2 linked regions of the Bombyx mori genome follow. Each later gene encodes a partner of the first gene's protein in a complex. Links are inferred from orthologs where the notes say so. Each region holds a gene or a part of one and is shown in the gene's direction. Other genes may lie near its edges.

The links.
Region 2: general transcription factor IIH subunit 2 (region 1) and general transcription factor IIH subunit 5 share a complex: the UniProt entries of both Caenorhabditis elegans proteins name them as parts of the 7-subunit TFIIH core complex. The link is inferred for Bombyx mori from reciprocal best matches to the Caenorhabditis elegans genes gtf-2H2C and gtf-2H5.

The regions. Positions count from the first base shown.
Region 1 is NC_085114.1:7,021,754-7,032,097, reverse strand, and holds general transcription factor IIH subunit 2, read left to right. Parts: upstream 1-1,353; 5' UTR 1,354-1,840; coding exon 1,841-1,899; intron 1,900-2,875; coding exon 2,876-3,077; intron 3,078-3,717; coding exon 3,718-3,857; intron 3,858-4,021; coding exon 4,022-4,184; intron 4,185-4,555; coding exon 4,556-4,654; intron 4,655-5,420; coding exon 5,421-5,596; intron 5,597-6,872; coding exon 6,873-7,004; intron 7,005-7,547; coding exon 7,548-7,656; intron 7,657-7,858; coding exon 7,859-7,996; 3' UTR 7,997-8,028; downstream 8,029-10,344. UniProt on the Caenorhabditis elegans protein: Component of the general transcription and DNA repair factor IIH (TFIIH) core complex, which is involved in general and transcription-coupled nucleotide excision repair (NER) of damaged DNA and, when complexed to CAK, in RNA transcription by RNA polymerase II.
Region 2 is NC_085109.1:11,973,175-11,983,518, forward strand, and holds the start of general transcription factor IIH subunit 5, read left to right. Parts: upstream 1-7,688; 5' UTR 7,689-7,815; coding exon 7,816-7,850; exon of another isoform or gene 7,851-8,080; coding exon of another isoform or gene 8,081-8,218; intron 8,219-8,854; coding exon of another isoform or gene 8,855-9,001; intron 9,002-9,119; coding exon of another isoform or gene 9,120-9,225; intron 9,226-9,739; coding exon of another isoform or gene 9,740-9,876; intron 9,877-10,344. Other genes in the region: meiotic nuclear division protein 1 homolog, read right to left, coding at 8,081-8,218, 8,855-9,001, 9,120-9,225, 9,740-9,876. UniProt on the Caenorhabditis elegans protein: Component of the general transcription and DNA repair factor IIH (TFIIH) core complex, which is involved in general and transcription-coupled nucleotide excision repair (NER) of damaged DNA and in RNA transcription by RNA polymerase II.

The DNA.
Region 1 (10,344 bases):
AATTTTTTGTATTATCAATTAAACAGAAAATGATTAATTAATAGAATTAATTTCAAAAATTTTACTTCCAAAATTTTGCCGCCCTAAAAAATTGCCGCACTGGGCACTTGCCCCGACTACGCGACTGCCCCTAGTGTAAATCCACCACTGAGCCCACCATTTACTGCAAACAAAATGCTGTCATTGTTGCAAAAAGCTTGTGATAGTGCTACTGCCGCGAATTAGGAAGGTTAGGTTTTACGAACAAAAAATTAGTTTTTCGCTGATTGGAACAGAGACACACATATCGATACCATCATAGATAACCAAATTATAATAAATACCTTGTGTTTTTATCGCCTGAATCCCACTCCCGACTAGGTATCCTTCTGTCGAGGGTGACATTCCGCCCCCGCCTTCACACTAGGACGCCTCTACTCGATGATATGCAGGCGAAGTAAAATGTCCCTTAGAAATAAGGTGACGCTCTACAAAACTTGCATACGCCCCGTCATGCAAGTGTAGTGTTCGCTCACGCGGCCCGCACTCGCTTAAAATCATTCCAAGTTATTCAATCCCGTTTTTGCGGGATACCCGTCGGAGCCCCGTGGTTCGTCAGGAACGTCGACCTCCATGACGACCTGGCCTTAGAGTCCATCAATAAGTATTTGCAGTCGGCGTCGATGCGCCACTTCGATAAAGCGGCACGACACGAGAACCCTCTCATCGTGGCCGCCGGTAACTACATTCCCGATCCTGCGGAAAGAATGGAAAGCAGTCGACGTCGCCCCAAACACGTCATTTCGGATTTTCCCGATCCACTAACGGTGCTTTTACTCAAGCACCGGTCACCGTTCTCGTCGAACCCGTCGCTTGCGACGAAGGGCTCGACGAGTAAATTAAACCTTAGATCAGCCCACTGAGTTTCTCGCCGGATCTTCTCAGTGGGTCGCGTTTCCGATCCGGCGGTAGATTCTGCGAAGCACGGCTCTTGCTAGGGTTCGTATTAGCAACGTCATCAGGCTTGAGCCCCATGAGCTCACCTACTAGCTAAGGCGACGCTGAAATAGCATCTCAAGGCTATCAGCTTAGGTAGGATAAAAAAAAACGCCTGTATAGAAATATCGATTTCGGCTATTGATGATGAATAAGTTCCATCTTGATAAAAATATCATGTAATATTATCTAACTAAATTTAAAAAACAAAGTTTTATTATTGGATGCTAATCCTTTTTCTGTCAATACGATTTTAATTTGTTCGTTAAAGTAATCGAAGATCAATATCGTCGAGTATCGAATAAAGCGGTATTTACTAGTATTTGATATCTGTTAAATGGGACTTCGTAATTGGAACTCCATGGACATACATACCTAGACTTTTTAGCTGGAACGCGAGGACTGAAGTTGTGTGATTTGTTTTATTTGGTCTATTTAGTGTTTCTTCGGGTTGAAATGTGTAATAATGGTGGTTTATTAACTGTTTAATATCTGTGAAAGTGCACAAATGTGGGAAAATAGAACAAAGTCGCTGGATGTAACTTCTCGGGATCCTCCAAAAAGTCCACTGAAAAAATCTCAATAAATGACCACCATTTTACTGAGATTACATTTCATTTAATTTCATCCCAGTTGATTAATGTCTCAAATTAATTATCTTCATTTCATTTCATTCACTCCATATTAACATTTTTCATAAAAATAAGAATTTCAATTAAAATAAGACATGACTTAAAGGTCTTAGTTACCAGGTCATAAAACCCCTTAAAAAACATACATACCTAGCACCTAGCACTTGATTGATAAACCTTGAAATGCAAATAAAAGTTGATTTTAAACTTTAAATTTTAGTAAATAATTAATAATGGCTGATGAAGATGACCCTAAAGAGTATCGATGGGAAACTGGTTATGAAAAAACTTGGTTAGAAAATTTATAGTTGTATTGTTATTATGTTTATTTATTTACGTTTATTTGTTTGTAAATACACAAGGCTAACCTTTCAAAGCGAACTTCCATTTTATTAAAAATCAAATATAGAAACAGTTAACGTTAATGAATCAATTTAAATTATTTTTTTACCTTTTCCTGAAAGACTCGTTAATGTCTTTCATGCATACTATTGAATAGAACATACTATTGTCTGTATTGTTGAATGTGGCTGGAATCTGCAAAATCTTAGCAGTGCAGGACTGGTCGTTTTGGCGGGTCTTAGCTTATATCTAGCAGTCGCCGTCTGCGGGCTGATGATAGATAGATACTGTAATGTGGTAACAGGCAAATGCGATTGCAAAGTAGTCTATTATTATTAAGTTTTTTTTATTGCTTAGATGGGTGGACGAGCTCACAGCCCATCTGATGTTAAGTGGTTACTGGAGCCCATAGATATCGACGTAAATGCGCCAACCACCTTGAGACATAACTTCTAAGATTTCAGGTATAGTTAGGCTGCCCCACCCTTCAAGCCGAAACGCATTACTGCTTCACGGCAGAAATAAGCAGGTTGGTGGTACCTACCCGCGCGGACTCTCAAGAGGTCCTACCACCAGTAATGACAGTTATACAGAGAGCCTATTTTTTATTTTGCTAAACTACAGATAAACTAAATAAAACCTGTTCAGATATTAACAAACACGACGAGCGATCATCTTGGGCCACCATTACAAATTCAATGAGGCCTACACACAGCAAATTACTGGAAATCTTTAACTTTAACCTTATGATTTCACCATATTCTAAAAAATAATGAATATATGTTATAAAAATAAAGTGTAATTACAAGTTTGTTTTTGAAAATTCTTCATAATACTTTAATTTACTCTGATTACTCTTTAGTTTTACAGTTTTTAACATATATGTTATGTGTCTATTGAATCATAAATTAAATATTTATGTGTAGGGAGGCTATTAAAGAAGATGAAGATGGGTTGGTTGAAAGCCTGGTGGCTGAATTTGCCCAGAAAGCAGCACGTAAAGCAGCTGCTCCTCGTAAAGGTCCAGTCAGACTTGGCATGATGAGGCATTTACTTTTAGCCATAGATTGTTCTGAGGCTATGAGCTCCCAAGATTTGAAACCTTCACGGTTTCTGTGCACATTGAAGGTAAAGAAATATCTTTTACCTTCATAAACTGCTAGAGGCTGAGCTGTATGCTATTAAGTAGTTTAAAGTTTATTAGATATACCTGGTGTCTTTGTATTGTAACTACCATTTGAGTAGAAGCATAAAGGTTGGAAGTTGACATCCAGATATCATGGCTAACACTTCATATGCAGTGGCCATTGGCTAACTCTGTAGCTTGATTAATTGTATTCAGTTCATTTCAATAGAGATGAATGTCTCCATTCTTTTTTGCAATACGGACAACTGGAGTAGTTTACTCAGAAAAGTTACAAAGCAGTCCTTCAGTGTTTAACCAATTGATTTTGTTTCTCTGTCATATTTCTATATCTATATAACTATAATTACTTGTATACCATCTATGCCTTTGTTTTGTCAGCTGGCTGATTTTTTTTGCATGCAATTTGTAAATACTATAATAATATTTAACAGTGTTTGAACTTCATCATGGGCATAGTTAATATTCTTCACAGATAGACAGCATAGGCCATGATATAACAGCTCCATGGTCACAAATGTTTGCGAGACGTAGGGTGTACCCCCATTAGTGAGAAGAAATCATGTTCTAATGAAGCTATAAATACAATTTTATTTAATAAGTTTAATCTGTGTATATTTCTAGTTGCTCGAGAAATTTGTTGAAGAGTTTTTTGACCAGAATCCTCTCAGTCAGCTTGGTTTAATAGCAATGAAGAATAAGAGAGCTGAGAAAATAACTGACCTATCTGGAAATGTCCGGAAACACATTAAAGCCATACAAGGGCAAGTATTAAATTATTGTTGTATTTATTAATTTCAATATATTACTTTTATTAACTTGACATTAATAGTTTTATCGAAAAATGATAGAAAAATCAATTAAATATGTCATATAAACAAAAGCTTTTAGTTATTTGAAAAAATAAAACAAAAAGTTCTCTAAACAGTTTATCCAACACTCCGCTGACTGGAGAGCCATCATTACAAAATACGCTAGAGCTGGCTGGGCGAATCCTAAGGCCTCTGCCTGGACACGCGTCAAGAGAATTACTAGTGCTTTTCGCATCCCTTACAACTTGCGATCCAAGTGATATAAACACTACCATAGAAGTAAGACAGTTTTGATTATTGAAATGCCTTATTTTACTTTTGTTGATCACCACAGATTTGTTAAAATAGAAATCCGTAAAGATATTTAACATGGTTCCACGACACTCCATAAAGCTCAGTTTTTGTTTAGCTTTAACAAGTTCTTTGCATTGCTGATGTCCACTGGTGACCTGCGCCATTGACGATCAATTGAGACAGACTTCTCCACTTTATATGGCAAGTAATACTAATAATGTTGTGTTAGCATTTTAAATCCAAAACTTGGTATTTCAATGAAAGTTTTGTTTGTTTCAATAACCTAAAATAAACTATACTGTGAGATAATATTTATTTATTAGATTAGATATTTAATTATTTTTATCTTTTTGTAGACACTAAAAACAGATGGAATTAGATGTTCTGTTATTGGTCTAGCTGCTGAAGTGCGGATTTGCAAAAAAATGTGTCAAGACACTAATGGAGATTATGGTGTAAGCTATTCTCTATTGATAATTTCGCAGTTTCGCTTTTGTATGTAAGCATTGTTATTAAAAAGAGCTTATTTAAGACTGCTTTTATTTTTGAACTAGCCGCTAAGGACTCTTTTTCTGTCCCACTATTTGATATAAAATGTTATAGTTACGGAATTTGTTATTGATGTTGTGATAGAATATGCCTTGTAGAAATTATCACGCAAGAAAAAAAGTCCTCCATGCTACTTTACTCTTTCTCTTTATTTCTTTCTGTGAGACTGCGGTTGTTGTTCTGTGTACGTGCATGTGGAGGTGCGTTTATCGAGATTCCAGTAGAAGAGTATTATGCGAGACCAATTGAATAACCTCAATATTTTATTTACCATTTTTCTAAAATAATTATGTATGTACATAATATAAAAAAAAAATATTTTTTCTTAAAATAATAAATGTATATTTTTGTTAATAAGTATTTATTTATTTTATTTATACTTATTGTACACAAAAGAGAAAATACAATAAAAACAGATTAAAAAGAATGTCTAAATACTATGTACCTACAAAGGCGAGCTTAACTCATTCATGAGTTTTCTTCCAGCAAACCATTAGCAGAGAGAAATACGATGCATAAGAGGGGAAAAGTGTACAATATAAAAGGTATTAAAGCATGACTGTTAAACTCAGGTTTAAAAACAAAAGTACATACATAGTTCTTTTATTTACTTCTTAATTTTTTTTTTGTTAGTAAGCCAATTTGCTAACGATGTACATAATATGTTTTTAGGTGGTATTAGACGATTGTCACTACCAGTCACTGCTACTAGAGTACACGTCGCCGCCGCCCCGCGCCCGCTCGTTGGACGCGGGCCTGGTGAAGATGGGCTTCCCGCATTCAACGCCGCTCGAGGAACAAGCCGACCCAGGGGCTAATGTCGATCCACCTATTACTGTTTGTATGTGGTGAGTTCCGTGTCTTGCTTAAATTTTAAAACTTGAGAAAGAACGAAAGAAACGCTTAGCGTAAATCTAAACTTTCATGAAATGCGTTTGTCTGTAGTGTTATTATTTTTATCGACCACTTTTCTCGGCGGAGCCGGTAATTTCATGGTAGCACGGGCGTAAGCCAAGTGCTAATTGCTTGATGTTAATGTTGGTGTGTTATCGTCAACCTGCATAAACTTCCTCACGATTCGGCAGGTGTTTAAAATAGCGGCTTTTTGGAGGGTTAATTAGAGATTTTGTTTGAGAGTGATTAATTTAAGGCTATGGTGAAGATGGTAAGGAATGAGTGTTATTGTTATTATTATTATGTGTATTAAACACTGCCTCGCCTGGGAAGACGGCAAGACACACCGGCGAGGTGGGCAACAATTGGCCGGAGCGTTAGGGACTATTGGGAGAGAAACCGGCAAACTATCCGGGCATTGTCGAGCAAGACTGCTTTTTGCATTTGGGCCACCACCGACTTTTCGTTGAGACCAAGCCTCTCGAGATGTTTTGAGAGGCTTTTAGGGACTTATTATTACTATTATTATTATTTTTTTTATAGATGTGTGGCTCACAGCCCACCTGGTGTTAAGTGGTTACCGGAGTCCATAGTCATTTACAACGTAAATGCCGCTACCCACCTTGAGATATGAGCTTTAAGGTCTCAGTGTAGTTACAACGGCTGCCCCACCCTTGAAACCGAAACGCATTACTGCTTCACGGCAGAAATAGGCAGCGTGGTGGGACCTACCCGTGCGAACCCACAAGAGGTCCTACCATCAGTAATTACGCAAATTATAATTTTGCGGGTTTGATTTTTATTACACGGTGTTATTCCTTTACGTTTTGAAGTGAAACTTCTAATGCGACTTCCAACAAGTTTGCGTTAAACTTTTAACGCTACCATGGAATAGAAAGAGACAGAGCGAGAGTGAATCCGTGGCACTCGAACGCTTGCGCGTTGTATACCTGCTACAGCCAGGGCGTTACCAACGAGTAGCGTCCAATATTTTAATGAAGTATTTAAAAAAAATACCTATATACGTATATCCTTACCTATATATGTAATGATGAAGATGTCGCATCTCTTATACACAGCATTCCTTATTACAAGAGCAATCTGATTTAAGGATGAGAAATGAAAAAAAAACACAATATTACTCATGGAATAAGAAGCTTCACTTCATTCACGTGCACCAAGTTGCACGCGCATCGTTTTTATTTTTTTTAAACTCTTATTTTTGTTCAGTCATTTGGAGGAAGGCGAAGGTATAGGCGGCGAGGGTCACCTGTGTCCGCAGTGCCGCTCCAAGTATTGTTCGTTGCCAGCTCAGTGTCGCACCTGCGGCCTGACACTCGCATCAGCACCACATCTTGCAAGGTACATCTGTCAAACGACCCCTTTCTTCAAACGATATTTGTTTTACGAGATAAAGTCTTATATTGCTGTAGATGAGCACAGAAGATCATGGGCCTGCCCGGTCACCGGTAAATTAACCTTCAGACACAGCCCACTGAGTTTCTCGCCGGATCTTCTCAGTGGGTCGCGTTTCCGATCCGGTGGTAGATTATGCGAATCACTGTTATTGCTAAGGCCAGTGTTAGCAATACTTCCGGTTTGAGCTCCGTGATCTCACCTACACGTCAGGGTGAAGCTGAAATAGTCTCTCAAGGCCTTCAGCATACGTAGAAAAAAAAGGCCCTAAAATAAATGGTTGACCTATAGTTTCTCCCCCTATATTTCCCTTACCGGGTGGTTTGAACACCGATATACTGACCGGAGGACATCCAAGTATATTCTAGTTTTGAATTTGAAAATGCTCTGCAGCAGATTTACATAGTAAACTTATAATTTTTTGCAGGTTTAATTTTATTCGTGTTTGTAATTGTAAATCGATTTTCATAATTTCTAATCTTATTGTAGATCATACCATCACCTGTTTCCAGTGGAACCTTATGAAGAATTAGATAATGATGGCCAGGCGCAGTATTGTTTTGGATGCTTAAGAACCTTCACCGATATAGACAAGAAGGTATGTTACATGTCTCACATTTTTTATCTGCCTTTCCTGTAAATAGTCTACATGTTTCGTTTTAACGTAATTGTATTAATATTTCTAAAATAAAATTTTCATACCGAGCATTCATTAACGACGAAAACTTGCGTGTGTGTGTGTAGAAGTTATTCTAAGAGCAATAGAGTCGATTTTTGAATATATAAATTTTTGTTTGTAGATACATCGTTGTCCCCGATGTAAAGAGTACTACTGCTGGGAGTGCGAGGGCGCGGTGACGGCCACGCTGCACGTGTGTCCTGGCTGCGCCACCAGACCTCATTTGTACCAGCGGCTACCAAGCACGACCTCATCGTAATAAATGAATTAATAAATGAATAAATGAATGAACACTTGTTGTATTATTTTTCGTGCAATTATATAATAACCATCGCAAAGGGACTTTTTTGAAGTGAAACTTCTTTAGGCGCGTTGAGAGTAAAATTTAACTCGCGACAGATTCGTTACGCTTAGAGAGAAAAGATACAATTTAGGACGAGTGAGACTGAGAAAATAGAGAAACCGTCTCGCGAACCACTCGACCCTGGAGAGGGAAATGACAAAGCGAGCTAGGTCGTTTCTCTTATACACAGCATTCTCTTATACAAGAGAAATTTGATTTAAGGATGAAAAATGAAGAACAATAGTACGCAGAAGTTTCACTTCTTTCACATCGCACCTTTTTTTTTTGCGATTGATTACGTGTATTGTGCGGAAATATGTAATCGCATATCGGGAGGAGATCGCGTTGGTCAAATTAATATCAACTCATTCACCGGTGCGTCGTTCAGTCGGCGTTTGTTTCGCATGAAACGAGCTCAATAAACGCTAACAATTGAATATTATTTGGTAAGAAAAATAGAGGAAAGTGGTGGAAGACTAAGGAGACAAGTGTCAACGTTCGTTCCCTTCGCCTTAGAATAATTCATATTAAACTAATATTACATGGATATATTACCACATATTATTACCATGTGGTAATATATCGATGTAATATTATGAACGTCAAAGTGTCGTTTCACGTCCAAACGAAGCAACGGATTGTCATAAAAGGATAGTTTTAGATCAGCAGTGCCAATTTTTATCCTGAAAATATATGTCATTCCCACGGGAAACTGTTTTATTATCTTTAGAAAAATGACGTGAGACTAGAAAAAAAAAACGCTTTTCCTTGACATCGCGAAGCTGCGAGTAAAACTTGTGATCTTTATTTATTTAGGTACTACTGGAGCCTATAGACATCTACAACGTAAATGCGCCACCCACTTTGAAATATAAGTTCTAAGATCTCAGTATAGTTACAACGGCTGCCCCACCCTTCAAACCGAAACGCATTACTGCTTTACGGCAGAAATAGGCAGGGTGGTGGTACCTACCCGCGCGGACACACAAGAGGTCCTACCACCAGTAAATTGTTGCGATATTTGTTTGTATTAGCAATGGTCTTTACATTTCGCCATGTTGTCCAAAATTTGAACTATGTTCAGTAGAAGTCCGAGCTGATCTATTTTTGTAGCGCTCGATGTATATGGCACAACTGATAGCGTGTAGCTTATTTCCGCTCGTGGACATCGGCAGTATAAGAGGCTCAGTCATTCCGCTATCTACCTCTGCATATGTCTTAATCTACGTTACACCTCTTGTGCCGGCGCATCCATAATTCCCGGAAAACTAACTAATCTCTCACTACTATACTTGCCATAGAATACATGTGCCAAGACAATATGGGAGCTTCTTGTCTCCTAGTATTTCCGCGCTGAGCAGGCCTAACAGACTAAATGAGAGATTTCAAATTTTTATAATAATTTAACGCCAACATCAGTCAGAGCTGGCCGCGACAAAGAGCCAACAGTAAGGGGCACTGACGCAAAATAATAGTACCATTTTACGATAAGTTTTACGTCGCTAGATTTAAGTGGGTTGATATCATACTTGAGTCCTTAACCTTTGATTGATAAGATAACTAAACATTAGTTCATATTGAATGTTATCGTAGACATAAACACGGATAGTAATTTTATTGTGATATGTATTTAAATTTGACATCATGTATCTGTTGTTGAGAATTTCTATAAATAGTACTATAAATAGTATTTTTACTGGTGGTAGGACCTCTTGTGAGTCCGCACGGGTAGGTACCACCTCCCTGTCTATTTCAGCCGTGAAGCAGTAATGCGTTTCGGTTTGAAGGGTGGGGCAGCCGTTGTAACTACATTGAGACCTTAGAACTTATCTCAAGGTGCGTGGCGCATTTACGTTGTAGATGTCTATGGGTTCCAGTAACCACTTATCACCAGGTGGGCTGTGAGCTCGACCATTCACCTAAGCAACAAAAAAAATATTGAAAATTATATAAATCAAAATTTGATGGAGGTAAATTTCTCGTAAGTTGTGAAAATAAAAAATATGCATGGTAAATTTAATACTTTTATTCAAATCTTTGTAACATTCGAATAACTTGTGTCATAGAAGATTCATTGTCAATAATACTACTTACAGTATAAAGTTGTGCTTCGGTACATAATACAGTAGGACAACGTTACTGATTTAATCACAGATACACGTCTTTAAATGCCTTTACATACAAAATTATATATTTTACTATATTTTTGGTGTTACACACGTACCTATAAGTTTAGCAACATATTTTTTTCCATTCATATGTAA
Region 2 (10,344 bases), on another chromosome or scaffold:
CAGCTGGTGACACAGCCCACCCGTGTCCCAGATATCGAGGGGCACGAGCCTTCTTTGTTGGACCTTCTGCTGACCACAGATCCGGCCGGATACAGTGTGGTGGTCGACGCTCCGCTTGGATCGTCTGATCACTGCCTTATTCGTGCTGCCGTACCACTCTCTCGTCCTGATCGTCGAACGACGACCAGGTATCGAAGAGTTTGGCGGTATATGTCAGCAGACTGGGATGGATTGCGTGAATTTTACGCATCCTACCCATGGGGGCGGTTCTGCTTTTCCTCTGCTGATCCTGACGTCTGTGCGGACCGTCTTAAAGACGTGGTGCTCCAGGGGATGGAATTGTTTATTCCCTCCTCTGAAGTGCCCGTTGGGGGTCGCAGCAGACCCTGGTATAACAATGCCAGCAGGGATGCTGCACACCTCAAGCGATCCGCATACGTGGCATGGGATAATGCCAGGAGACGTCGGGATCCTAACATCTCAGGGGAAAGGCGGAAATATAACGCCGCTTCCAGGTCCTACAAGAAGGTAATTGCCAAGGCGAAGTCGGAGCACGTCGCTAGAGTTGGCGAGCGATTGAAGAGCTATCCCTCCGGGAGCCGTGCTTTTTGGTCGCTCGCCAAAGCTGCAGAAGGAAACTTCTGCAGGTCTAGTCTCCCACCACTGCGCAAGTCCGATGACAATCTGGCCCACAGCGCGAAAGAGAAGGCTGACCTTCTGGTCAAACTCTTCGCCTCGAACTCGACTGTGGACGACGGGGGTGCCACACCACCGAACATCCCCCGGTGTGATAGCTCCCTGCCGGAAATCTGCTTCACACAGTGTGCAGTCAGGCGGGAGCTCAGACTCCTGGACGTCCATAAATCGAGTGGGCCAGACGGCATCCCCGCAGTGGTTTTGAAAACGTGCGCCCCTGAGCTGACACCTGCGCTAACGCGTTTGTATCGCCTCTCTTATTGCACTAACAGGGTTCCGTCTTCATGGAAGACCGCCCACGTCCACCCTATCCCCAAGAAGGGTGACCGGTCGGACCCATCGAGCTACAGGCCTATCGCGATAACTTCCTTGCTTTCCAAGGTGATGGAGCGAATTATAAATACACAACTCCTGAAGTATCTTGAAGATCGCCAGCTGATCAGTGACCGACAGTACGGTTTCCGTCACGGTCGCTCAGCTGGCGATCTTCTTGTATACCTTACTCACAGGTGGGCTGAAGCCTTGGAGAGCAAGGGCGAGGCTCTTGCTGTGAGCCTTGATATCGCGAAGGCCTTCGACAGGGTCTGGCATAGGGCACTTCTATCGAAGTTACCATCTTACGGAATCCCCGAGGGTCTCTGCAAGTGGATCGCTAGCTTTTTGGATGGGCGGAGCATCACGGTCGTTGTAGACGGTGACTGTTCTGATACCATGACCATTAACGCTGGCGTTCCACAAGGTTCGGTGCTCTCCCCCACGCTTTTCATCCTGTATATCAATGACATGCTGTCTATTGATGGCATGCATTGCTATGCAGATGATAGCACGGGGGATGCGCGATATATCGGCCATCAGAGTCTCTCTCGGAGCGTGGTGCAAGAGAGACGATCAAAACTTGTGTCTGAAGTGGAGAACTCTCTGGGGCGAGTCTCCAAATGGGGTGAATCGAACTTAGTTCAATTCAACCCGTTGAAGACACAGGTTTGCGCGTTCACTGCGAAGAAGGACCCCTTTGTCATGGCGCCGCAATTCCAAGGAGTATCCCTGCAACCTTCCGAGAGTATCGGGATACTTGGGGTCGACATTTCGAGCGATGTCCAGTTTCGGAGTCATTTGGAAGGCAAAGCCAAGTTGGCGTCCAAAATGCTGGGAGTCCTCAACAGAGCGAAGCGGTACTTCACGCCTGGACAAAGACTTTTGCTTTATAAAGCACAAGTCCGGCCTCGCGTGGAGTACTGCTCCCATCTCTGGGCCGGGGCTCCCAAATACCAGCTTCTTCCATTTGACTCCATACAGAGGAGGGCCGTTCGGATTGTTGATAATCCCATTCTCTCGGATCGTTTGGAGCCTCTGGGTCTGCGGAGGGACTTCGGTTCCCTCTGTATTTTGTACCGTATGTTCCATGGGGAGTGCTCTGAGGAATTGTTCGAGATGATACCAGCATCTCGTTTTTACCATCGCACCGCCCGCCACCGGAGTAGAGTTCATCCATACTACCTGGAGCCACTGCGGTCATCCACAGTGCGTTTCCAGAGATCTTTTTTGCCACGTACCATCCGGCTATGGAATGAGCTCCCCTCCACGGTGTTTCCCGAGCGCTATGACATGTCCTTCTTCAAACGAGGCTTATGGAGAGTATTAAGCGGTAGGCAGCGGCTTGGCTCTGCCCCTGGCATTGCTGAAGTCCATGGGCGACGGTAACCACTCACCATCAGGTGGGCCGCATGCCCGTCTGCCTACAAAGGCAATAAAAAAAAAAAAAAAAAAAAAAAAAAAAAAAAAAAAAAAAAAAAAAAAAAAAAAAAAAAAAAAAAAAAAAAAATTAAAGTTTAGGTCTTTTGTTTATCGATTGAGGCACTACGAACTCTGCCGGGTCAGCTAGTATTATTATATGTATTGTATGTAACCAAATTGTAAGATAGGTACTGTAAAATAACACATAAAAACAAAAAATGTTTATGAATTAGAAATAATTACTCTTATATAAATTAATTACAATATTATTATAACAAACTCAAATTAAAACAATAAGATTGTTTATTTATTGTATATCCGCGAATAGTGAAAACGAGAATGAAGGAAGCGCGAATAAGCAGTACTTACTGTATATTCAATAACAAGTATATAAACTGAACAGTGCCCATACTTTTCATACCATGCAAACTGCGGACAAGCTTCTCCCTCCGCTCTTTCGATCTCTTAAGAGTAAGAATAAAATTATTGTACCGACATCAACCATAGGTCGCCCGAGATAAATAAACCACTGCAAGCATCAGTGGATTAATTCAAACCAATTAGGTTTTTTTTTTATTGCTTAGATGGGTGGACGAGCTCACAGCCCACCTGGTGTCAAGTGGTTACTGGAGCCCATAGACATCCACAACGTAAATGCGCCACCCACCTTGAGATATAAGTTCTAAGGTCTCAAGTATAGTTACAACGGCTGCCCCACCCTTCAAACCGAAACGCATTACTGCTTCACGGCAGAAATAGGCAGGGTGGTGGTACTCACCCGCGCGGACTCACAAGAGGTCCTACCACTCGTAAAAATACCACCAAAAAAATATAGGTACCAAAATACAAGCCAATTTGTACGTATTAATTTTTATAATTCGATAGTACCTATATATTATTATGATTAATCTATTAATACGTGAAGCAACAACTTTGTACCCCTTTTTACGAAAATGGCACGGATGGAGGAGTATGAAATTTCCCACATAGAGAATATAGAGGAGTGCAGTGTTAATATTTTTTTTAAAATATGCATAAAAATAGATACATTAAATCAAGAAAAAAAAGACATTACACACACTAACATATTTGATACTTCACATACGCATGCATACTATTTGTTTATTGTCAAACTTTTCAGTCTGTGTGCTTAGGGCGAGTTTTTTATCCTTCTCGATACATAGCGTAAAAGTTAACCCAATTTTGTATGCAGTTGGAATGGCGCCCCTAGCGGCAAACGTAGGCAAACGAACCTATCTTAATTATTTTCTTATACCTTCGGTTCGGTTCGATTTCGATTTCGGGGGCGATAAATCGATCTAACTACGATTTATTTTCAGAAAATGCTGTTTTATTCGTGTTTTCAATAATCAACTCTTCCCGACATCTATTGGCGAATAATAATACTATTTTTCTTAATTGAGGGCAACTAACCGCCTTAAAGACAAAACAAGATGGAGTTATCAAAAAAAAAAAAAACGAGCAAAGCTCGGTCATCATCTAGTTCCATACAAATTTGAGCTAGCTATCGAGAACGTTAAAAAACTCGCACTAAGCACACTGTGCTCAAATTGTGAATAGAGCAATATTGTTTGTCTTGAATATAGTCTGGGCGAACTATGTGAATAAAGAAGTTTATTAGTGTACAAACTTAACATTTCAATTAATTATAGTCGAATTTCGACTACCGGGGGACCACTAGTATATACATATAAATAGTCGACTATAGGTGTAAGATTAAGTAAATAATCTGGTGCTACTCATAGTTGTAAATTAATTTAACGTATGTACAACGTATGAATTTGTATTTTTTTAATAAAAATTGTTCTAACAGATTTGTTTTTTGTTTTTATCAGAAATTATTATTTATTATACTTATGTCCTGGGAAAAACTGAAGATTTGAAATTATTAAAATGGAAACAATATATTATAAAATATATAAAAAACCAAATTAAACGCAAACTCGTGGTTTATCAACCTTTAAATATTTATGAGAACGCTTACACGGAGAAAGAGAAATGGTGCTAATTCGCTGGACAATACTTTTCTGTTTTTTTCTTTTTTTCTCCGGCATTTGTTTTTTTAATCCATAGGTGGTTGAACGACATCATAGAGCTACTTGTTTAATTGGTTACCGGAATCTAGGTGGACAAAGTGGTGGACATAAACGACATCTGAATGTGGGGATCGACAAAGTCTAAAAATCAACCCCTATCAATCACTGCAAGTTCTTATTTGAAACTTTAAAAAATACAGCATAAGTTATTACGTGATTTTGTTCTATTCACTAATAACTTAAGGAGCTACCTCTTCAAGTGACGCACGAATGGGTAGGCACATGGCTTCAATCTGAGAGAATTTGCTAACACTAGTCTTAGCAAGTGTAATGCTTCGCAGAATCTACCACCGATTGAAATCGCGACACACTAAGAAGATCCGGCGAGAAACTCAGTGGGTTGTGTCTATGGGTTAGTTCGCTCAGCGAACTCTTCATTTTAATCGACGAGTTAAACGAGGACTGGGAACGGTGCTTAAAGAGCCTAACAGCACCAAGAGTGGATCCGGTGGATCTCATTCAATTCCGCTCGCAACGCCATCAAGTACGGACGTGCTGTTTCGAAAAATTGTCGCTGTCATTGCGACCTTATTTTTCTCAAAACGTTGTCGCTGTAGTCGCGACCTTGAGTCGAAAACGCACAATTCGTGTTTGATTTGTTTTTGCGAACGAAAACTTCACTAGCTGTCTTTCTCAAGACAAAAAGCTCACTACGATCTGCTTGTTGTGGCGTGTCACAACTTCCCGGACTACATCCCAATTCCTACGCAATGTCGTTATTGAAGTGAAACTTCCTTATCGGCGTTGGAAAAAAATTTACCGTCACATTTTTCGGTTACGCGTCACTTTTTTCCGTTACGCGCCATCTGTTTTGTATTCATGTCTATGATAATAAAATCCTTTTGTTTAAACTTTATCTAATTTAACTTTTTTGTATTCATGTCTATGATAATAAAATCCTTTTGTTTAAACTTTATCTAATTTAACTTTATTTAACCAATTTCTAGAAAGTTGCATGTAGATCATTTTTCGAAAAATAAGGCCATAAACAAGTTTCACTTCTTACGTGTGTACACTAGTACACGCACACATTTTTTTCATTTAATTTCATCCCAGTTGATTAATGTCTTAAATTAATCATCTTCATTTCACTCCATATTATAATTTTTCATCAAATGAGTCGTCTATTATCAAAGGTGGCAATCTGTGCATTTGGACAAAAAAATGTTATTGATATGTCAATACAGATTGAGTTGAATATAATCGTCTCCTTCAAAGAATACGGTTCAAAACCTGCATTAAATAAAGGTTAATAGTTAACCTGTTATTTATCTAAGATGTCGTTCCGAAGAGTTTTGTGACTGCCAATGGAATACAAAGTCAATAATTCGTTTTTCTGATTTACCAATAATTGTCCAAAAGTCAGATTGCCGGCTTTGATAATAGTCGACTCAAATAAGCATTTATATTAAAATAAGACATGACTTAAAGGTCTTAGTTACCAGGTCATAAAATCCCTTAAAAAAAAAGCTTACACTTACGCCTTAAAGGCTTATTACACTTGGCTAAATTTAGTCGACTGAATTCAAAAGCAAATTTAGAAGCAAGTTGGAAGCTTCTGATTACACTGTTCTTAACTTCAGTTACTGAATCAATTGTCAGTATAAACGCGACGAAGTAGGACGTGTCGTGTGTGTGTGAATGGCCCCAGTATTATCTAAACAACAAAAAATTGGTCTAGGCGCAGACCTCGCTGTCGGCTCAATTGAAAAAAAAAAAAAATGAAGAGTATGGGCGAAGAAATATATATTGCTGCGCGGAAAGTTAGCAAATATGAACATTATGAGTGATTTATCTATCCGATGATATGTAGGAGAAGTAAAATGTCCCTTAGAAATAAGGTGACACTCTACAAAACTTGCATACGCCCCGTCATGACCTATGCAAGTGTAGTGTTCGCTCACGCGGCCCGCATACACTTGAAATCATTCCAAGTCATTCAATCCCGTTTTTGCAGGATAGCCGTCGGAGCCCCGTGGTTCGTCAGGAACGTCGACCTCCATGACGACCTGGACTTCGAGTCCACCAGTAAGTATATGCAGTCGGCGTCAATGCGCCACTTCGATAAAGCGGCACGACACGAGAACCCTCTCATCGTGGCCGCCGGTAACTACATTCCCGATCCTGCGGACAGAATGGAAAGCAGTCGACGTCGCCCAAAACACGTCATCTCGGATCCTCCCGATCCACTAACGGTGCTTTTAGGTACTTCAAGCACCGGTCACCGTTCTCGTCGAACCCGTCGCTTGCGACGAAGGGCTCGACGAGTAAATTAACTCTTAGACACAGCCCACTGAGTTTCTCGCCGGATCTTCTCAGTGGGTCGCGTTTCCGATCCGGTGGTAGATTCTGCGAAGCACGGCTCTTGCTAGGGTTCGTGTTAGCAACATCGTCAGGTTTGAGCCCCGTGAGCTCACCTACAAAAGTTAGGGTTACGCTGATATAGCCTCTCAAGGCTCTCAGCTTAGGCAGGAAAAAAAAAAAAAAAAAAAAAAAAAAAAAAGAATGATTTAGAACCAGCAGACTTCAGAAATGATCTACGAATGGATTCGAGGTCGTTTGACCAAATATTAAGCCTTGTGGCACAATTTTTTTCAAAAGCAGGATACTATCCTACGATACTACTATAGTCTATTATATATCTATATTATATAACTATTACATATCTAATCCTACGATAGTATAAGTCCAAAAGAAAGATTGGTTGTAACATTAAGATTTCTTGCAACAGGAAATTCGTATCAAGATTTAATTTTTAGTTCTTTATAATATCCCAACCCCTTCTGACAAAAATTATCCCTGAAACAAGTTGGGCTATTTATAAATGTTTGGCACATTTAATAAAGGTGAGCGAAATAAATACTTTTTATTCGGAAGTAAAAAACAAACTAAGCCGTCCTTACGCACGGAGAGCTATGGGACGACTGAAATCATTAAGTAACTAAATGCGATTACACCTTCTTATATGCGTTTCTAATTAGGCTTCTAAATGATTTAGTCAGTCAGAAACCATCCTTGCTACTGAATTTAGCAGGTTAACTTACTGAATGCTATTACACCGACTAAATTTAGCAAAGTGTAATGAGCCTTCCACACTTACCCATAAATAATAGATATTAAGTGTATAGTCTATGAATAATAGTTTATAATAGTAATAGTATTCTGTATAACCTATGGTATCTACTGAAAGTAGGGAGTAAATAGGTACCTACATACTTTATTTACAATTAATTATTACATAAAGTGACAAGTTCTAAAACAATGAACCATGGTGAATGTAATGAAAGGTGTCCTCGTTGAATGGTATTTATTATTTTTATTTCTCACAAATATTACTTTTACATATGCAAACTTACAGATAAAGTTAGAATCGTTACAATGTGCTTTAATGATTTGAATTTTAAATTACATCAGTTAATCAATTTACTACGTACAATATATTAACTTGCCAAAGAATTTCTTCTTTGGTTTTTCCCATACTTAAATTTAATGTTCTGGGCCTAGGTTATGAGGAATGCCTTGTATATAAAACTTCATTCAATGTAATCCATATCTTTAGGTATGTTAAAATTTTCTTCTAGTGCATCAATATCTATTTGAAAACTATTTTTTATATAAGATTTCAATATATATACATTTTCTGTCCATCTGTTGCTGGCTGTTTTCAATTCCTACAAAATGAAACATTTTTAATCCAATATTATTATTTGATAATATTATAGTTATGTCTTTGGTTATACATACTACCACCTACAGAAAGCTATTTATCAAAACATAGTATTTTTTTAAATGTACTTTGTTTTCCTTATTTTTAAATAATGAATACAATGCTTAATTAATATACTGATAAGTTATATTGAGTAATATTACCCACCAAATAATAAAATATATATTTTCTAGCATGAAATAGACATGTTAGACTTAAAAGTCATTACCAGTTGTAAGCTCATACAGTTTTGTCATTCTGCCTACATCTGCCAAAAAAAATATACACATTCCAGTTTGATCAGTTCACTTGGCCTTTATGAAATATAATAGTAACTGATCTAATGTGTGCAATATTAAAGTGGGTAGCAGAAGTCACATTGTGATACCTATCAACTTCAGTAACTTACTTAACACTTCAGAAACACTAAATACTATACTACTATAGAAAGGCCATGAACTGATTCATCAATTACTAAATCCTTAAACTTGGGACATTGGCCTTATCTATTGCGCTCACAGTGGGGCGCTAATATGAGCTTGAATGGAATATAGACCTTAAGACATCATCTCATCTACATTAATATAAGAATTGGATTTACAGTTATTTCACGTCTCAGTTGTGCAATATATTCAGGATCAGATTCTCTGTATTTTTGTAATTCTCTCTTATATGAAGCCTCTTGCTTTTGAAGATCTTCTAAAGATGATAATATTTTTATTCTTTCTTCAGATATCTCTCTGCCTTTCTAATATTAAAGTCAATTAATAAATATATCAGTCTCTGATAAATATAGAATAGAATTAAGTTTCATTATAACTCTATAGACTATACTATACTAAGTAAAAAACTATAAATATTCTGACCGATTCTGCTATAAGGACTTCCTCAGTTTTCTTTAACTTCTTCGTACATTCATCAAATTCATTCTGGAGTTCTTGTAGCTTCCTCTTCTTGGTACTTTTTGCTTTGCTACAAGTAATTTATTTAATGTTTGCATGGCATTACCACAGCTTGCTTGATTTGAAAAATAATTTTGCAGTCATAAATTTTTAAAAAGCACAATTGTTTACTCTTAATTTCTCATAGCATCAGTGTGTAAAGTCCATGTAAATTTTATTATTCAAAATAATAAAACTAGTCTTAGTCAATGACTGACTCGGTGGTGCAAAAGTTGGCACCCCTGACTGCCGAAAGTTGTGGATTCGATTCCCATATTGGGCAAAAATTTATTCATTCAGCTTTACTGCTTACATGAGTCCACCTGGTTTTACATGGTAACCGAAGCCCATAGACATTACAACATAAATGCTGCCACCTGCCTTGAGACAAGATTTCTAAGGTCTCAGTTGTAACAGCATGATGACCTAACACCCTTCAAACCGAAATAAATAACTGCTTAATGGCAGAAATAGGCCAGATTTGACGCCAGATGATAATGTACTGTTCTGTTCCCAGTTATTTAGTTAGTTGTTTAACATAGTACCTTGGGAAAGACCAAAAGTACACTGAAGTCCCAATTTTTTCAGAATCAACCAGGTGATCATCAATTAGACTCTGAATCACTTCTTTAACTGATTGCATTGTAATACCCTTTTCTTTTGGTGCTATTTTTTCTAGTTCCTGTAAAAGTTAAAATATAAAATATTATCTTAATAGATTTTGTTATGGCCACTTCTGTTTTATGTGCTGTCTAAACATTTTCTTTTGAACTAATTATTGACTATTTGGTGACTCAACTAACATGATCACCAACAAATAAGAAATTGGACTCCTACCAAGTAAGTCAAATGATGAGTAAACATTCGTGAAAACTTCATTTATTATTACTTTGCTCTCAATTAATTAAAAAACGACCTTGCATTGCTAGTAAGTAAGAAACTCCAGACACTATTTCACACTGTCTCATTTATCCTAAATAAGAGATATATTTTATTGCTTAGTTGAGTGGAAGAGCTTAATACCCACCCCTGGTGTATGTGATTAGGTTACTGGAGTCAACAGACATCACAATGTATGTGCCACCCATCAGTATTATCAGATTTCATTAATTATTTATTGTGAAAGTCATTTATAAACATGTTTAATTAC